Arabidopsis thaliana: one gene and its partners. The protein of the gene in region 1 interacts with the protein of each later gene in a pairwise test. Each region holds a gene or a part of one and is shown in the gene's direction. Other genes may lie near its edges.

Evidence for each region.
Region 2: the proteins of ZML2 (region 1) and AT3G58380 interact in binary tests that used the Arabidopsis thaliana proteins (3 or more experiments, as listed by UniProt).
Region 3: the proteins of ZML2 (region 1) and FASS interact in binary tests that used the Arabidopsis thaliana proteins (3 or more experiments, as listed by UniProt).

The regions. Positions count from the first base shown.
Region 1 is NC_003070.9:19,130,414-19,136,154, forward strand, and holds ZML2 (ZIM-LIKE 2), read left to right. Parts: upstream 1-1,807; 5' UTR 1,808-2,253; intron 2,254-2,741; 5' UTR 2,742-2,762; coding exon 2,763-3,068; intron 3,069-3,241; coding exon 3,242-3,334; intron 3,335-3,423; coding exon 3,424-3,557; intron 3,558-3,665; coding exon 3,666-3,797; intron 3,798-4,386; coding exon 4,387-4,492; intron 4,493-4,605; coding exon 4,606-4,674; intron 4,675-4,770; coding exon 4,771-4,839; 3' UTR 4,840-5,217; downstream 5,218-5,741. Other genes in the region: MNS1 (alpha-mannosidase 1), read right to left, coding at 64-238, 379-444, 565-677, 937-1,098, 1,179-1,226, 1,561-1,719. UniProt on the Arabidopsis thaliana protein: Transcriptional activator that specifically binds 5'-GATA-3' or 5'-GAT-3' motifs within gene promoters.
Region 2 is NC_003074.8:21,597,251-21,601,179, reverse strand, and holds AT3G58380 (TRAF-like family protein), read left to right. Parts: upstream 1-1,571; 5' UTR 1,572-1,738; intron 1,739-1,965; 5' UTR 1,966-1,984; coding exon 1,985-2,091; intron 2,092-2,167; coding exon 2,168-2,328; intron 2,329-2,424; coding exon 2,425-2,666; intron 2,667-2,801; coding exon 2,802-3,215; 3' UTR 3,216-3,381; downstream 3,382-3,929. Other genes in the region: AT3G58390 (Eukaryotic release factor 1 (eRF1) family protein), read left to right, coding at 1-1,150.
Region 3 is NC_003076.8:6,173,336-6,178,949, forward strand, and holds FASS (tonneau 2 (TON2)), read left to right. Parts: upstream 1-1,636; 5' UTR 1,637-1,818; coding exon 1,819-1,960; intron 1,961-2,212; coding exon 2,213-2,304; intron 2,305-2,459; coding exon 2,460-2,522; intron 2,523-2,599; coding exon 2,600-2,698; intron 2,699-2,783; coding exon 2,784-2,942; intron 2,943-3,174; coding exon 3,175-3,246; intron 3,247-3,389; coding exon 3,390-3,522; intron 3,523-3,616; coding exon 3,617-3,681; intron 3,682-3,792; coding exon 3,793-3,868; intron 3,869-3,978; coding exon 3,979-4,080; intron 4,081-4,165; coding exon 4,166-4,358; intron 4,359-4,368; exon of another isoform or gene 4,369-4,632; coding exon 4,633-4,879; 3' UTR 4,880-5,066; downstream 5,067-5,614. Other genes in the region: EMB269 (GTP1/OBG family protein), read right to left, coding at 383-1,488; AT5G18590 (Galactose oxidase/kelch repeat superfamily protein), read right to left, coding at 5,181-5,261, 5,346-5,405, 5,491-5,614. UniProt on the Arabidopsis thaliana protein: Probable regulatory subunit of type 2A protein phosphatase involved in the control of the dynamic organization of the cortical cytoskeleton.

The DNA.
Region 1 (5,741 bases):
AGATCTACATGACACAAGATGACACAATACAACATACACGGCACTCAGTAATCTAGGACTCACCCCTGCCGCCCATGAAGGATTGTGAGCATTTCCATTTCTCAAGTTGATAATATTGTAAGGTATACCCGTTGGAGTATTCCATGCAGGCAATAATCTGTCTGCAATATCCTTAGCCTTTTCAAGGAACATTTTGTCCCCAGAAAGATCATACGCACTAAGAAGTCCGCCTACAACTCTGAAGGCAGATAAAGAAAAAGAATATAAGCAGATGCAATATCCGTTCCCCATCTTATGTCACCAACTGATAATCGCAAATAAACTGACTCTTCCTACGATAATTACAGAAAACAACCACAGTAAACCTGTTAAAGCCACCTTATGGTTGTCTCAAACATACTGGCGTCATAATCCTTGTCGAAATCCAATGAGCTTGCAACCCACCTGCAAATAAAAGACAATAAGCAAATGAAGATTAGCAAAGATGAAGAAGTAAAAAGTTGGATTTGCAACTGGGACGAAAACAGTTACATATGAATAAATGAAGAGCCTGCAATTACTCACTCTCTGGCTTTTTGAAACTGCTCATCTAGACCCATTATATAGAGTGTATCTAAAGAATCTACCATAGTTGCTCCAAGGCCACCAAAGCTATCAGTGCCATCTTTTGTCCGAGGCTGACAATAAAAAAAGGAAAGAAACAAGAATAGCTTCAGACCAATATTTTTTTTGCAGAGTTCAGGAAGAAAATAATCTTAGTTCTTAACAAAATCTTTGTAGGCCTGGTAACTTCAGATAAGCTCATAATAAAAGGCTCAACAGGATACTGGAAGAGCAGGCACTAAACGTCAAAATAAAATTTGATTCATAGAGTCCGTCGTAAACTAGATTTCGTATTCACAAGGGTGAAATGTATTTTGGAAAATAATTGTATACCTGAAGCTCATCTTTCCCCCATGCATACTTTTCATAAGAGCTCCAAGCATGGATCATTGCCTCTTTTACTTTCTGCCTTCGCTGTTTATCAACTGGATCTTCTGGGGCATCCTTCAGAGTCTTCAAAGGCTTATTGCCAACACCACCATTAAGCTCTTCTAACTAGCGGAAAATATAGTTAGTTAGCTAAAACATTAGAAAGACTATCTGAGCCTAGAGTGAGGGGAAAATATTAATCTTACCATCTGCTCCAACCGTGAAACTTCTTCATTTAGCTTAAAAACTTCAACCTGCAAGACAAAAAAAAGCAGGACAAGTGAGAGAATGATCACAAGAGAAATTGTTCACTTCCTTGACATTTTTCTTATTTTGGTTACATAGCTTCTTATAAACGAATACATGAATTGAGTCCAGAAGATATTAATTACAGCTCTTTTCTAGTAAATAAAACACCAACTGTCTTACTTATAGACCTTGAGCTATGAAGGCAATCAAACCATTCCAGGCCTAAACCATATAACCTACTTCACCAAAATTCGAATTGGCCTACCAATAAGCTATGATACAAGAACTATCTCCTACTCCTAGGCAGAGTCTAACCAGATTTCATTAGACAAAACATACCTCATGTTCTCGGGCAAGATTAATACGATCCCAGACAAGCATAGAAACAGAGACGAAGACAATGAAAAGCAAAGCCAAACGTCTCGGTCTTCTAAGATAATACGCAGGATTCAAATATTTCCATATCCCATAACCACTAATCGATCTACTTCTCGCCATCTCTCTTCTCAACCCACTCAACAAAAACAGAGACCAATTGAGAAATCAGTGTCCATGAAACAGAGCAAGACAAAAGTTAAAAGCTTTTAAATTTCTGATCCGAAAAGAGTAAGAAACCGAGAGAGAAATAAGTCTCTCAAAGAACAAAAGTTATAGATCCGATTTTAGTAGTTAGAAGGAGGAAGACGAAGAAAGAATTAAAAAACGAAACTTTACCCAAAAACCAAAAGAAAAGTATTTATTTATATCTCCGGCACTTTTGCTTATTTATTCTTTTGATGATAAAATAATCAATCGAGTCTCTTTAGCCCCCACTGGTTCGTCTCTTTCTTCGATTTCTCTTTCTATCTGGTTTCCATTTTCGTCTCGTTGGTGTTCTGGTGGGTTTGGTTTGTCTCTGTTCTTCTATTTGTGGCGTTATCCATCGGTTCAATTGTCATCTTCATCGTTTCCGTCGTGTTATTTGGTGTTTCTCGTTTGGGTCTTTCGAACATCTTTCATTCTTCTCTTTTTGGTGTTGCTCCCCACGAACAGGTAACATCATCTTAACTCTTATATTGGTTTCGTGTGTCGTAATGAGGAACCTATATTTCAATGGTTTTGGATGTCGCTTTGTTTCAGGATTTGCTTTTGTTTCTTAGGGTTTATTTTGTTTGTTGAAATTATAAGTGAGTTTGTGGAATTGGTATAATATGGTTTATGTAAGGCTTAGAGCGTGGAAATATTGAAACTTTGGATTGAATCTGATTGATGCAAATATGTTAGAAGTCTGTGTTAATCTCTTGAAAACAAGCATTGATCCATAAGGTTTCCTGAATTTATGTATAGTGTTAGTTAGAACTTATATGTAAGTTGCTCCAATGACCGAGGAAGTAAGGTTATATAGTATGTGAATCATGTTTTGCTTAGAGCTGATTTGATTTGTCTGGTCATCCATGAATCGTGCTTATGAAGATTAGGTGTTTTTGTTTGAAGTTTCCAGTTTTAATGTTAATTTGTTTTACTTTCACTGTTATCATTAGGTAGATTGATGAAAAGCAACCATGGATGACCTACATGGAAGCAATGCTCGAATGCACATTAGAGAAGCTCAAGATCCAATGCATGTGCAATTTGAACATCATGCTTTGCATCACATCCACAATGGAAGCGGTATGGTTGATGACCAGGCTGATGATGGCAATGCTGGTGGGATGAGTGAGGGTGTGGAAACAGACATTCCTTCTCACCCTGGAAATGTAACTGACAATCGTGGTGAAGTGGTCGACCGTGGTAGTGAACAAGGAGATCAGTTAACATTGTCTTTTCAGGGCCAAGTCTACGTTTTTGACAGTGTCTTGCCTGAGAAGGTGAGTTAAGTTGTTACTGAGTTGGTTCGTTGATTGTCTCATTCCATTAGAATTTATATTCTTACTCCAAGCCACATTTTAGCAAGTGGTTGAAGGATCTAGTTAGCTTTGAGTTTTTTCCATCTATTGATTCTAATGTGTGAGTGCCTCTTGCTATTCGACGCCTGTTGCAGGTTCAAGCTGTGCTTCTATTATTGGGTGGTCGTGAATTACCTCAGGCAGCCCCTCCTGGCCTAGGATCACCTCATCAGAACAACAGAGTATCGGTAATAAAATATATGATGGCATTTATGGGACATAAGTTCCCTTCCTTGATACATTGCTTGACTGACTGACTGACTAATCAATGAAACAGAGTTTACCTGGTACTCCTCAAAGGTTTAGTATTCCGCAGCGATTAGCTTCTTTGGTCAGATTTCGAGAGAAACGGAAAGGAAGGAATTTTGATAAGAAGATTCGGTATACAGTCCGCAAGGAGGTAGCTTTGAGGTACATTGATGTCTAAATCAACAACTTGGTCTAGTTATACTTCTTTTATGGTTGCTCTCCCAAAATTAAGGTTCGCATCTTGATTACTTTTTGTTTTCTGGTATACAGGATGCAACGCAATAAAGGTCAGTTCACATCTGCCAAGTCAAACAATGATGAAGCTGCATCTGCTGGATCTAGCTGGGGGTCGAATCAAACCTGGGCCATAGAAAGTAGTGAGGCTCAGCATCAAGAGATCTCGTAAGTTTAGAAATGCTTTGAAAGTAAACTGCGAGTTCCTGACATACTTTTTAACTTGAACCAACTTAACGTAGTTATTATGGGTTTGCTAAGCAACTTTAGAAGTTGTTTTTGCTTCCAACCTAATGTAGCATCTGACTTAGTTATTAAACTGAACCATCCTAATGTAGAGATGATAGGTTTATTAAGCATCTTAGATGTTGTTTTTGGTTTCAGAAACGTTGTAGAGGTACTAGAACTCTGAAACCTATCAATGATTCAATATCAAGACATACACATTGCATATGTAATATTTAACATGAGCATGGACCTATACGAATTGGTAACATTGAAGGACCAATACAGACAAAATATTATATAAAAGCTCTTCCATGCCTGAAGCAAAATGACTTCTGTGATAGATGATTGGTTAAGACAGGTTGTGATGACTAATATTGTATCCTGGAACTGAGAATTTTTATAATAACTTTGGAATAGACAATTGTCGTTTAAGTCTTTGTAGATTTGAGTTTTTCTTCTTGATAGCCTTACTTTAGTTGGTAAGAACATATCTGATTTTACTTCCTCTGAATGGCTTGATACCTGTAAGATGTCGGCACTGTGGAATTGGCGAGAAGTCAACTCCAATGATGCGACGTGGACCTGCCGGGCCAAGAACACTTTGCAATGCATGTGGACTTATGTGGGCAAACAAGGCAAGACAATACTTGCTTCTTAATTTGATCAACTCTCTTTATCTTGCTCATTTTGTAGCACTAGTGATTCGATGATTAGTCTGTCTAAATGAGGACGACATTTATACTTTCAGGGTGCTTTTAGGGACTTATCCAAAGCCTCTCCTCAAACAGCCCAGAATCTTCCTTTAAATAAGAATGAAGTAAGCAACATCATGTTTTGACCAAACAATTTGTTGTACGAAAAGGAATCCATTCGTCTTTATCATAACTTGTGCATGTCTGATCTATCTTTGCAGGATGCAAATCTTGAGACTGATCATCAAATAATGATAACAGTGGCCAATGACATAAGCAACTCACAGTGAGGACATGTTGGCTCTTGCCATTACAAGCAAGAGAAAGATCCCAACAGAGTTTGAATCGCCTCAGGTTCTGTAGCTTTATCATTCCCTTTGAAAGAATCTGACTCGATTTAGGTTATCAGGATTTGATCTATGACAATGTAATCTGAGTGATAATGATCTGCAATGTTTTGCTTCTTCTTTTTTTATGATTCAAAAATGCTTTATAGACTGTTGTTGCATTGGTCCATACTCTGATGTAACGTCTAGTTGCAGTCTGTGTTTTACCCTATTTTAAAGACAAACTAACTTTATTTAAGAACTCACCAAAAGAGTAGTCTCCTTATGACCACAGGGTTGTTTTGGAGACTTAGTAGCCTCATGTAAAGTGAACCATGTTCAATGCCTCATGCTTCTCTAAGTCAAGAAACAAAAAGAGGCTTGTGAATTGTGATATTATTAGCCAAAGGAACTTGCCAAAGGAACTTGCCAAAACAAGGAGACAAACTAAAATGGTTCAGTGCGAATGTGACTGCTCCTTTGTTTTCAGTGGCAAAGATTTTTACACAGAATTTTGCCTAAAAGACTTTCAAATATCCCTTAGATCAAAAAAAAAAAAAAAAAAAAAAGAGACTTTAAAATATCCCAATTTGTGAGAGATATTTTAGATTCCATTTTTGTTTTTATTTTAGCTTAATAGACAAAATCTTATTTCTTGCATTTTCTCTTCTAGTGAATTGTCTCATCTTATCATGAAAATCTGAAAATCTTCTCATAGTTTCATTTTTTAATAATATTTATATTGACTTTTTAGCATACCAGTCATTACATTTCAATTTTTCTGATAAACTACATTACAATGTTATTAGTTAATTTATGAGAGCTAAGCTTTGGAAATAAATGGTATAAAAGAATATTCTTATAAT
Region 2 (3,929 bases), on another chromosome or scaffold:
CGGAAGCGTTAAGATGATGGCAGAGGACTCGGATGATCTCTGGTATACTTATAACCTGATTGGCCCGGAGGATAGTGTAATGGCTATCACTTTCAGAAAAGTTGGTGGTGAAGGAAGAGACTCGACTCCATCGCTAAGTCGAATAGAAAGCAAATACCTTGGAAAGAAAAGATCTTTCACCCGGACTGAACGTGTTAAACTTAAGCTAGAAGTACAAGTTGAGGAGGTGGACTATGACAAAGACGGCGATGTTATGCGCATACGCGGGAAGAATATCATGGAGAACGAGCATGTAAGGATTGGTGCATTCCATACTTTGGAGATTGAGCTTAAACGACCTTTTTTATTGAGAAAGGAAAATTGGGACTCACTGGCTCTTGATACACTCAAGCAGGCCTCAGATCTTGCAGCTAGTGCTGATTTAGCTGTAGTTCTAATGCAAGAAGGACTGGCACAAATCTTCCTTGCCGGCAAAAGTGTAAAAAGTTGCGGTGCACGAATAAAAACATCGATTCCTTGGAAGCATGGAGCTGGAACGGCTGGTTACGAGTCAGTTTTGAAGAAATTCTTTGAGAATGTTGTGCAAGCCTTTCTGAAACACGTTGACTTCAGTGTGGTTCGATGCGCAGTGATTGCAAGTCCCGGGTTTACAAAAGATCAGTTTCATCGCCACCTATTGTTGGAAGCAGAGAGAAGACAGTTGAGACCTATTCTTGAGAACAAATCACGTTTCATTCTGGTGCACACAAACTCAGGATATAAACATAGCCTAAGCGAGGTTTTGCATGACCCTAACGTGATGAATATGATCAAAGATACTAAAGCAGCAAAAGAGGTCAAAGCTCTCAACGATTTCTTCACCATGTTTTCGAATGATCCAAATAGAGCATGTTATGGACCAAAACATGTGGAAGTTGCTCATGAACGAATGGCAATCCAAACACTTCTCATTATAGATGGGCTATTTAGGAACTCTGACGTGAAAACAAGGAAGAAGTATGTGGATTTTGTGGAGTCGGTGAAAGATTCAGGAGGAGAGGTTTTTATATTTTCGTCAATGCATGCTTCAGGGGAACAACTAGCACAGCATACTGGAATTGCAGCTATTCTTAGGTTCCCTTTACCAGATCTAGAAGACATTGAGATGTAACATAGTATTTCTAAGAAAATCTTTTAGGTTCTTTTATTCACTTCTGCTCTAATATTTAGTTACTTGTTTTGTAAGGGTATGACTTGAACAAATTGTTGCAAGATTATATATATAAAAGCGTCAGTTATCTTCATTAAATTAAACAAATATTTCCTAAGTTTACTGTAAAAATCTGTATCCTTTACTAAAAAAAAAAAAATCAAAAAAGAAATTGGCAACCCCTTTTGAAAACGTTTGGCATCCTGTTCCTCTCTTTAACACAAAAGGACCTAAAAAGCCTTGGAAGGTCTATTCACCAAGAAAAAAGGAAACAGAATCTCAAGTCCAAGTTTCTTTCCTTATTGGAAAAGTCAATTCCAAAGAAGGGATTTTAGTTTCTTTCCTTATTGGAATTGGATATCTCCCTTTTTTTGGTTTAGAGGATTAATGTTATAAAAATGGTTGAATCTCGTTTTTGAACTATTCGATCCAAGTAATTTGGTTTTTGGATTGGGTTCGTAGCTCTGACAAACTTGGACTAACTTGGACAAAGTGGGTACGAGTTCTGACTTCTGAGTCGCTGTTTCTCTTTCAACTCGCCTCTCAAGGGTAATCGCTTTATTCCCTTAATCTTGCATGTCTTAGAATATTTCTTTTCCTCAACTACGGTCAACTAGTTTTAAGTAGTTTAAACTGCTGGCTGAAACTTCATATGTCTTTGAGTTCATAGTAAAATCTTTGTTAAACTAAGAAAGAATTTGTTGGAGAGTGTGTGTGTTTGATACTTTGATTGGTAGGTACATGAATTTGGTTTAATTCTCTTCATGCTGTTGTAGTTTCATTGCGAGTAATATAATGGAGAAGGAAGTTGACAAGAAATTTGTCTGGGTGATAAAGGATCTCAACGTTTTTTATCCTAAGCAGAGTCATTCTGATCCCTTTCTGATTGCTGGCAGTAGATGGTAAAAACTGAACCAACTTTTGTTCCAAACGTACTTTTCATCTAATTATGTTCTGGTGATTTGATTTTTTTTGTAGGCGTCTTCTAGCCTTACCAAAGGGAACTAACTATGAGTTCTTCTATCAATACATGGGGGTTGCTGATTCTTGTCAATCACTGACTTCTTCATGGAGAAGACATGTAAAACTTCGCTTAACTATAGTAAATGGAATTTCTCATAAACGCTCCATTGTGACAGGTTATTCTTCTATTTATACTTTTTGCAAAATGAGTGACTGATTTAGATTAGTTTTAATGTGATATTGATGTTTTAATACTTGTGGTGATGCTACAGATTCAGACCTATACTTTGATGAGAATCTTCCCGCTTGTAGTTATCCAACAGTACCACCCCCTTTCAACCTTCTTGCAAGAGATGCAGGGTTTCTGATTTGCCGAGAAATAACAATTGTTATTGAGGTTGTTTCTCTTGAAGTTATTGGCACATCAAATAATGATGGTGCCAACTCTATTGATTTACTCAAACAGACTCAACAAATCATTGATGTCAATGGGTTTCAAGTTCTTCCTTCACAGGTAAGAAACTTAAGATTAATGCGAGTATACTTCTTTGTGGTTTTCTGTATTTAAATACTCTGATGTACAAAATGTTTCTGTATGTATTCAGGGCTTCTAAAGCTTTTATGATATTTTTTTCTTCTTCTTTCACAGGTAGAATCTGTGAAGCGTATATTTGAAATATACCCAAACATTGCATCAGAAGTCCCTTCAATGAAACCATGTCTGAAGACATTATACATGAATGTACTCCTCGGAATAATTGAAACGCTGTGCCAACTGCCTGCGGAGCTCTCTGATACTGATCTGGATGAAGCATCCATTGCAGTTTTATTCGTGTCACAAGGTGGCTTTAAAGTGGATTGGTTGGAGAAGAAGCTCAAGGAAGTAAAGGAAAAGAAGAAGAATGTGGATAATGGTAAGGCTCGGCTGCAACAAATAGAGGAAGATTTGCAGAAACTCAATCAGAAACGCTTAGACCTGAAAGATATTCTAGACAAGGAGAAAGCAAATGACTTGACCGCTAATGTTCCTCTCTCGTTCAATGATGTTCTTAAGATGTTTTAGACAAGGCTTTGAAAAACTGCCCTCTGATAAGGCAGAGACATTTTGTGGAGATCCTCTATAGGTTGATGTCTTGAGTTCTTTCTTAGGCATTTTGTGCTAAAGCATTGTGCGCTTGAAGTGTTTTTTTTTTAAATTACTTTAACCAACATTAAATTTAGAAAAGTTTAAGATGTGTTTTCTAGAAGAAATCAATAAATCAAAGCAGAACATAGAAGAAGTAGTTAATCCCTTGAAAATGAAATATATGCAATCCCTTGAATATAGGAGCTAAACTGTATCAAGTAACTACCCTTGATCATATCCAAACTAAAGTGTGTTTAAATTATACAATCTAAATTTTTGAATATGGAAATTTTGGAAACTGAGTAACAAGAGAGACAGAGTATCCCTGGTAAATCACCATGGTTGGGGAAACTATTGATTATTTATAGTATGCATTAAATTATATACAACATTAGTTACTCTAGTTTTCAAGTCATGTTTCCTAAGCCATATAAAAGTGATTCACTTTCCTAATAAAATTTGATTTGCATTCATGTAAGCGTTCAGAGTCTGAAACCCTTTTTTCCCTTAGTCTCCGTTGACTGTTGTCTTAGAACAACCCTTTTCATTGTCTCTTCTCATTAAGGTAGAGTTTAGTTTTTTTTAAAGCGTTTGGTTCGACCTTGACGTCTTTATGTGGAAGCTAAGATTACTAGCGTTGAGGATATCATG
Region 3 (5,614 bases), on another chromosome or scaffold:
ATAATACTCTAACATACCTCTATCAACATGAGCTTTTCTACTAGCAGAGTCAGCAATGGAAGACTTTCAAAAGTCCTGTACCTGTATCTATATATAAATTCTTGTATAGTGAGCATTACTTACAAGATGAGATTTCCTCTGGAGATTAACCGAGATACTAAACCTAACCCAGATGATCGAATGAAGGAAGCAGGGCTCACATGTAAACATCAAGCTTTACCAAACAAAAGAAATACAAATCAACTGTTCCTAAACCAAAATGAAATTTTTACATCTTTGAACAATCTAGCTTCTGTGATTAGTTTATCCTATCAAAGCTTGTAACCATCATCAACACACTAAACTAAAACCAGCTCAAAAATGAAGAAAAATACACACTTACATTTCAGGACCTTCTTCGCCATTCTCAGCAATCCTAGGAACTTTATTCATCCCCGACTTAAACGAAGCATTCCCTCGTCCACCTCTCCCTCCAGGCAACAACAACGCCCTCTGTCCCGGATGCAACAACTCCAAAAGCACCTCCTTCTCCTCCCCTTCCTCACCCTCCACCTCACTCCCAACCTCTCTAGCCTGTCTAACCACCGTCCCAGGAGCCACTTTCACCACGACATTATCACCTTTAGCTCCACTCTGCATCTTCCCTCTCCCATGTTCCCCACGTCCCGCCCTGAAATGCACACTCTTGCGAAATGGCAACAACGAATTCATAGACCCATCAACCTCTACATACACATTCCCTCCTCTCCCTCCATCTCCACCTGAAGGTCCTCCAAAAGGAACAAACTTTTCTCTCCTAAACGCCACCACACCATTCCCTCCATCTCCGGCTCTAACATATATCTTCGCTCTATCGAAACACCTCATCACAGCCGGAACTCCTTTCTCCTTCACCCCAATTTCATCCTCTTCCTCTTCACCGGAGAAACATAACACTTCTCCATCCTTCAATTCAGACCCTTCACTATCATCTTTCTCCGCATCAGTTTCATCACCATACTCAAACACTTCGTCTTCCCAATCTTCATCATCTTCATCAATTGATCTTGAACTCCCTTCAAACACATCTAATCTTCTGTAATTTCCCCAAATATCATCATCATCATAACTCTTCACCTCCTTTTCTTTCTCTTCTTCCTCAATTTCCCTCAAAGTTTCAATCTTTTCCTCAACCCTCGCGACATTGGACTCAGATAGCTTCACTTCTTCAGAAACTTTTAAATAAGATGAAGACAAAAGAGAGACATCATAGTAATCTTCCCTAGGAGGAAGACGTGTATAAGTAGTGGCTTCGCCGCCGGCATCAGAAACTGGCTGGAGTTTATCACCGCCTCGAGATTTAAGCTCGACTTCGCGTTGAAGCTTCGTTTTTCTAGGGCTTCGGGTTCTTCCCGAGACTTTGTCAGGTTTAGCGAAAATCTTCCTCGTCCTACTGGGTCGGGCTAGAGCTTGAGGAGTGAAGAAACAGTTAATGGATATGGAAGCCATTTGTTTCTCTGATAAATCTTAACGGGACTTTATGTGATATAAACAACATTTTGTACTAAATATTGATTTTTCAAAGTAAAGGGGGTTACAATCAAAAGTAGTATAAAATTGAGGACTTATATAGCAAACAAGGAGAAACTTTTATTACCTTTGAAGTTTGAAGCTTGGATCTCGCAGATTGAGCTCCAGAGAGGGAGAGAGAGAGAAAGGGGGCGCTTTAGGGTTTCTGCAGTTCCTGGTTCAGTCTCACCATTCTATTTAAGGGTTTTAATCTCTCTGCTTCATTTGGTGACTAACATTTATCGTCGAGGGTTGTGACGATCTCCGAGAATGTATAGCGGATCTAGCGATGGTGAGAGTCATGATACATCGACGCAGAGGAAGATCCCACCGGCGTCTTCGATGCTTTGGGTTAGAAATCTACGACGATATATTGGTTCCGGTGCCGGATTAGGATCCGAAGCTCTAATGGGTAATGTTCCTTTTGCCGGTTGTTGCGTTTTGGTTGTTGGGACAGTCTGTAGTTTTTTTATCTTTTAGCTTGTGATGATGTCATAAATTCTGTAAAGTTTGAATCTTTGATCACATTTTAGAGCTCGTTGTGTTTTCAATATGAGTAAAGTTCCTGAATTTACATGTCTATGTATTGAAAGACTATGTTTAACTGTGATAGAGTCTTTGGTTTTGCTTAGTTTGATAAGGGTTTGTGTTCATTGTTTTGTAGAGCTTGAGACGAAGAGAATCTTGCTCGAGATTTTTAAAGAGAAGCAACAGAAAAGCCAAGAAGCAGGCACAATACCGAGTTTCTACAAGAAGGCATGTCCCTTACTCTGTATAAAATGATTGCCTTTGCATTTCAAGGCACTACTCGGTTAAAATATTGCATTGTGTTATACACTTCATAGAAGTTGTTTTTCCTTTTAAGTATTCGTGTTAGGCAATAAAATTTTGTTCCTTTACTCTTGGTTCAGAAACCAGAAGAAGGATCTATTAGTCAAAGGGTCCAGAAGCTTGCAAAGTACCGTTTCTTGAAGGTATTTCGCCTGCTCTTAATTATTCAGAAGAAGTTTAATGTTTTTGCTCACTTCGATATGTTGATTAATTCCCACAGAAACAATCGGATCTTTTGTTAAACGCTGATGATTTGGCTGCTATGTGGGTTTGTTTGAGAGAAAATTGTGTGATTGATGATGCCACTGGTGCTGAAAAGGTACGTGCATCTTTTATAGGATTTTTCTCTGGAGCTGAAACTATGTTAACAATGATGCTGATATTGCGCTGTCTTTTTCATGTAGATGAACTATGAAGACTTCTGTCACATTGCCTCTGTATGCACTGAACAAATCGGTCCCAAATGTCGCCGGTTTTTTAGCCCATCCAATTTCATGAAATTTGAGAAGGATGAGGCTGGGAGGATTGCCATTTTACCGTTTTATCTTTATGTGATGCGCACGGTGAGTATCCTTATGTTTTTATAATGTCATGTCTTTGGGTATCATTTTTGTTCATTGGCTGAATATCATCTGTCGCCATAAGCTAAATATTCTTTGGTACTGTGTTTGAGTGACACCAGCTTTGCTAGTTTTGGATGTTTGTTTTTCAAGTTTTTTTAATTTGGCGTGTCTTTTACTTAAACAACTATAGTTAATACTTGTTTTGATTAATCATATGTTCAACACTATTCAGGTGTCGCTTACACAAGCTAGGATTGATATGAGTGAGCTTGACGAAGACTCTGATGGTTTCCTTCATTCTGATGTAAGTACTCAAGTGGCTCTAAAGCTTTAACTTTAGAATTGGCTCAAGATTCTTTAGGTAGTCGTCCTACCTGCAAATGTCAAATGGTGTTGACTTTTATGTCAAGTTCCTTACAGTTAGTCTACTTGCTGTTGTTATTATAGGAAATGGAGTCCTATATTGGTGGTCTAATCCCTAATCTGGCACAACTGAGAGACATGCCTCCGGCCTTTAATCAAATGTATTGCCGCATAGCTTCACAAAAGTTTTTCTTCTTCTGTGATCCCCATAGGCGAGGTAAGTGAAAGAAAATATTATTATTATTAGGCAATTAGAAATTTCTTTGACCCAGTATTCAATCGCTCGTAAATGTGATATTTTTTGCGTACAGGAAGAGCCTGCATTAAAAAGATACTGCTCAGTAACTGTCTGCAGGAACTAATGGAATTGCATCAGGTAAGTTTAGTTGAAGGATGTATGACATACAGCTTCGTCACCGTATAACTTTCCACTTTCATAAGCTACTTGCTTGTGTTTTCTGATTGTTCCTTGGTTACTCAACGTTAGGAAAGCGAGGAGGAAGTCACAGACACTGAACAGGCAGAAAATTGGTTCTCTTTGACTTCAGCCCAACGCATATGTGGTGGGTGTGCTATTTTGTCTTAATAGCTGCAGAGAACTGGAAACAACTCTCGTTATGTCATATTAAGAACTAAAATGGAGATTGATCTAGAGTTTCTCTTTCTTCTGTAGATATGTTCCTCGCACTTGATAAAGATATGAGTGGATCGCTGTGCAAACAAGAACTTAAAGAATATGCTGATGGGACCCTAACTGAGATTTTCATTGAAAGAGGTAAATTTAAGCCCTTTTGGTGATTGTAGGCTCGTGGTACTGATCGAGACACGCTTAGTATACTAATTCCCCTTTGTTTTTTTAGTGTTCGATGAGCATGTCCGCCGTGGTAAAATCGTGGCAGGCAATTCCCGGGAAATGGACTTTGACAGTTTCCTCGATTTTGTTCTTGCTTTGGAGAACAAAGATACTCCAGAGGGTTTGACGTATTTATTCCGTTGCCTTGATCTCCAAGGGAGAGGCTTTCTCACTACTGCTGATATTCACTCTCTTTTCAGGTAATGAATCTCTATGAAGCGACTGAATCTGTTTGGTTTCTTACTTTTTAGTAAATTTTGTTTGAAACATGGAAGTAAAGAAGGGGAGCATCAAAGAGTTGTGATGTTATCTGATACAATCTTCCTAAATAAACACTCTGCATTTCCTGCTTGCGGAAGCTGAGCTTTGTTCCGCGAGTCTCATATCTGCAAAGACACTAGTGCATATCAAACACACCATTGATGTGTGATAATGCCATTGTCTCTCTTCTGAATTCATCTGTTTAACTTGCAGAGATGTTCACCAGAAATGGATAGAAGGTGGGAACTATGAACTGTGCATAGAAGATGTTCGAGACGAGATCTGGGACATGGTGAAACCGTCTGACCCATTAAAGATCACTCTGGGTGATCTCTTGGGATGTAAACAAGGTGGAACCGTTGCGAGCATGCTTATAGATGTGCGTGGCTTCTGGGCTCATGACAACCGTGAGAACCTTCTTCAAGAAGAAGAAGAACCACCTGAGGAAGAGTCTCAGTGATAATGTTATTTTCTATGTCTACCTAAAAAAAATGCTAAATCATTGAGATCAAAAGTCTCGCACTAGTAAACAGTCTCATCTCATGTGTGTGTATCTTTGTAAGCTTATTAGTTGGTGACGTTTAATGAAATGGCTGTTTATATCGTCACTTGTCTTATTCTACTTGGGATCTGATTTGATTTTTGACATTTCTGAATTCACTTCTATTATACATTACTCCACAACACACATGAATTCAGTCATGTCTCGAGTACTACAAAATGGAAGTCATAAAAGTTATCGTGTTGTCTCTGGTCTGTGTTTAGACATGGAAAGGCTTTCTGGGTGTAGCAGCTCTGTTCTCTAGAGATTGTAATCTTTGCTTCAGATGAAACACTTCAACCTGCGTTCATCTCAAGTTTTTAGAACAATACTACATTTTGAAAATGCAAATTTGAATAGAGTCTATTGATGATTATGATGACACCTGCAACTGGAACGCTCTTGCTCTTTCTCCTGCAAGAACTCCTCTTGTTGAATGCAACTCCTACAAAACCCATAACACAAAACGGTATTAAACTTTAATCCTCAGTCTTTTGAAAACGCTTGTATATCTACTAGGATTATTTTACCTTTTGTGTATCGTCTAGGACAGCTTTGAGGAACGCTACATCATGCTCAAGCCTGACATTGTCGGAGTGAACCATGTTTGACAAACTATTAGCTTCCTCTTGAGCGAGCTCTAACCCGGTCAGC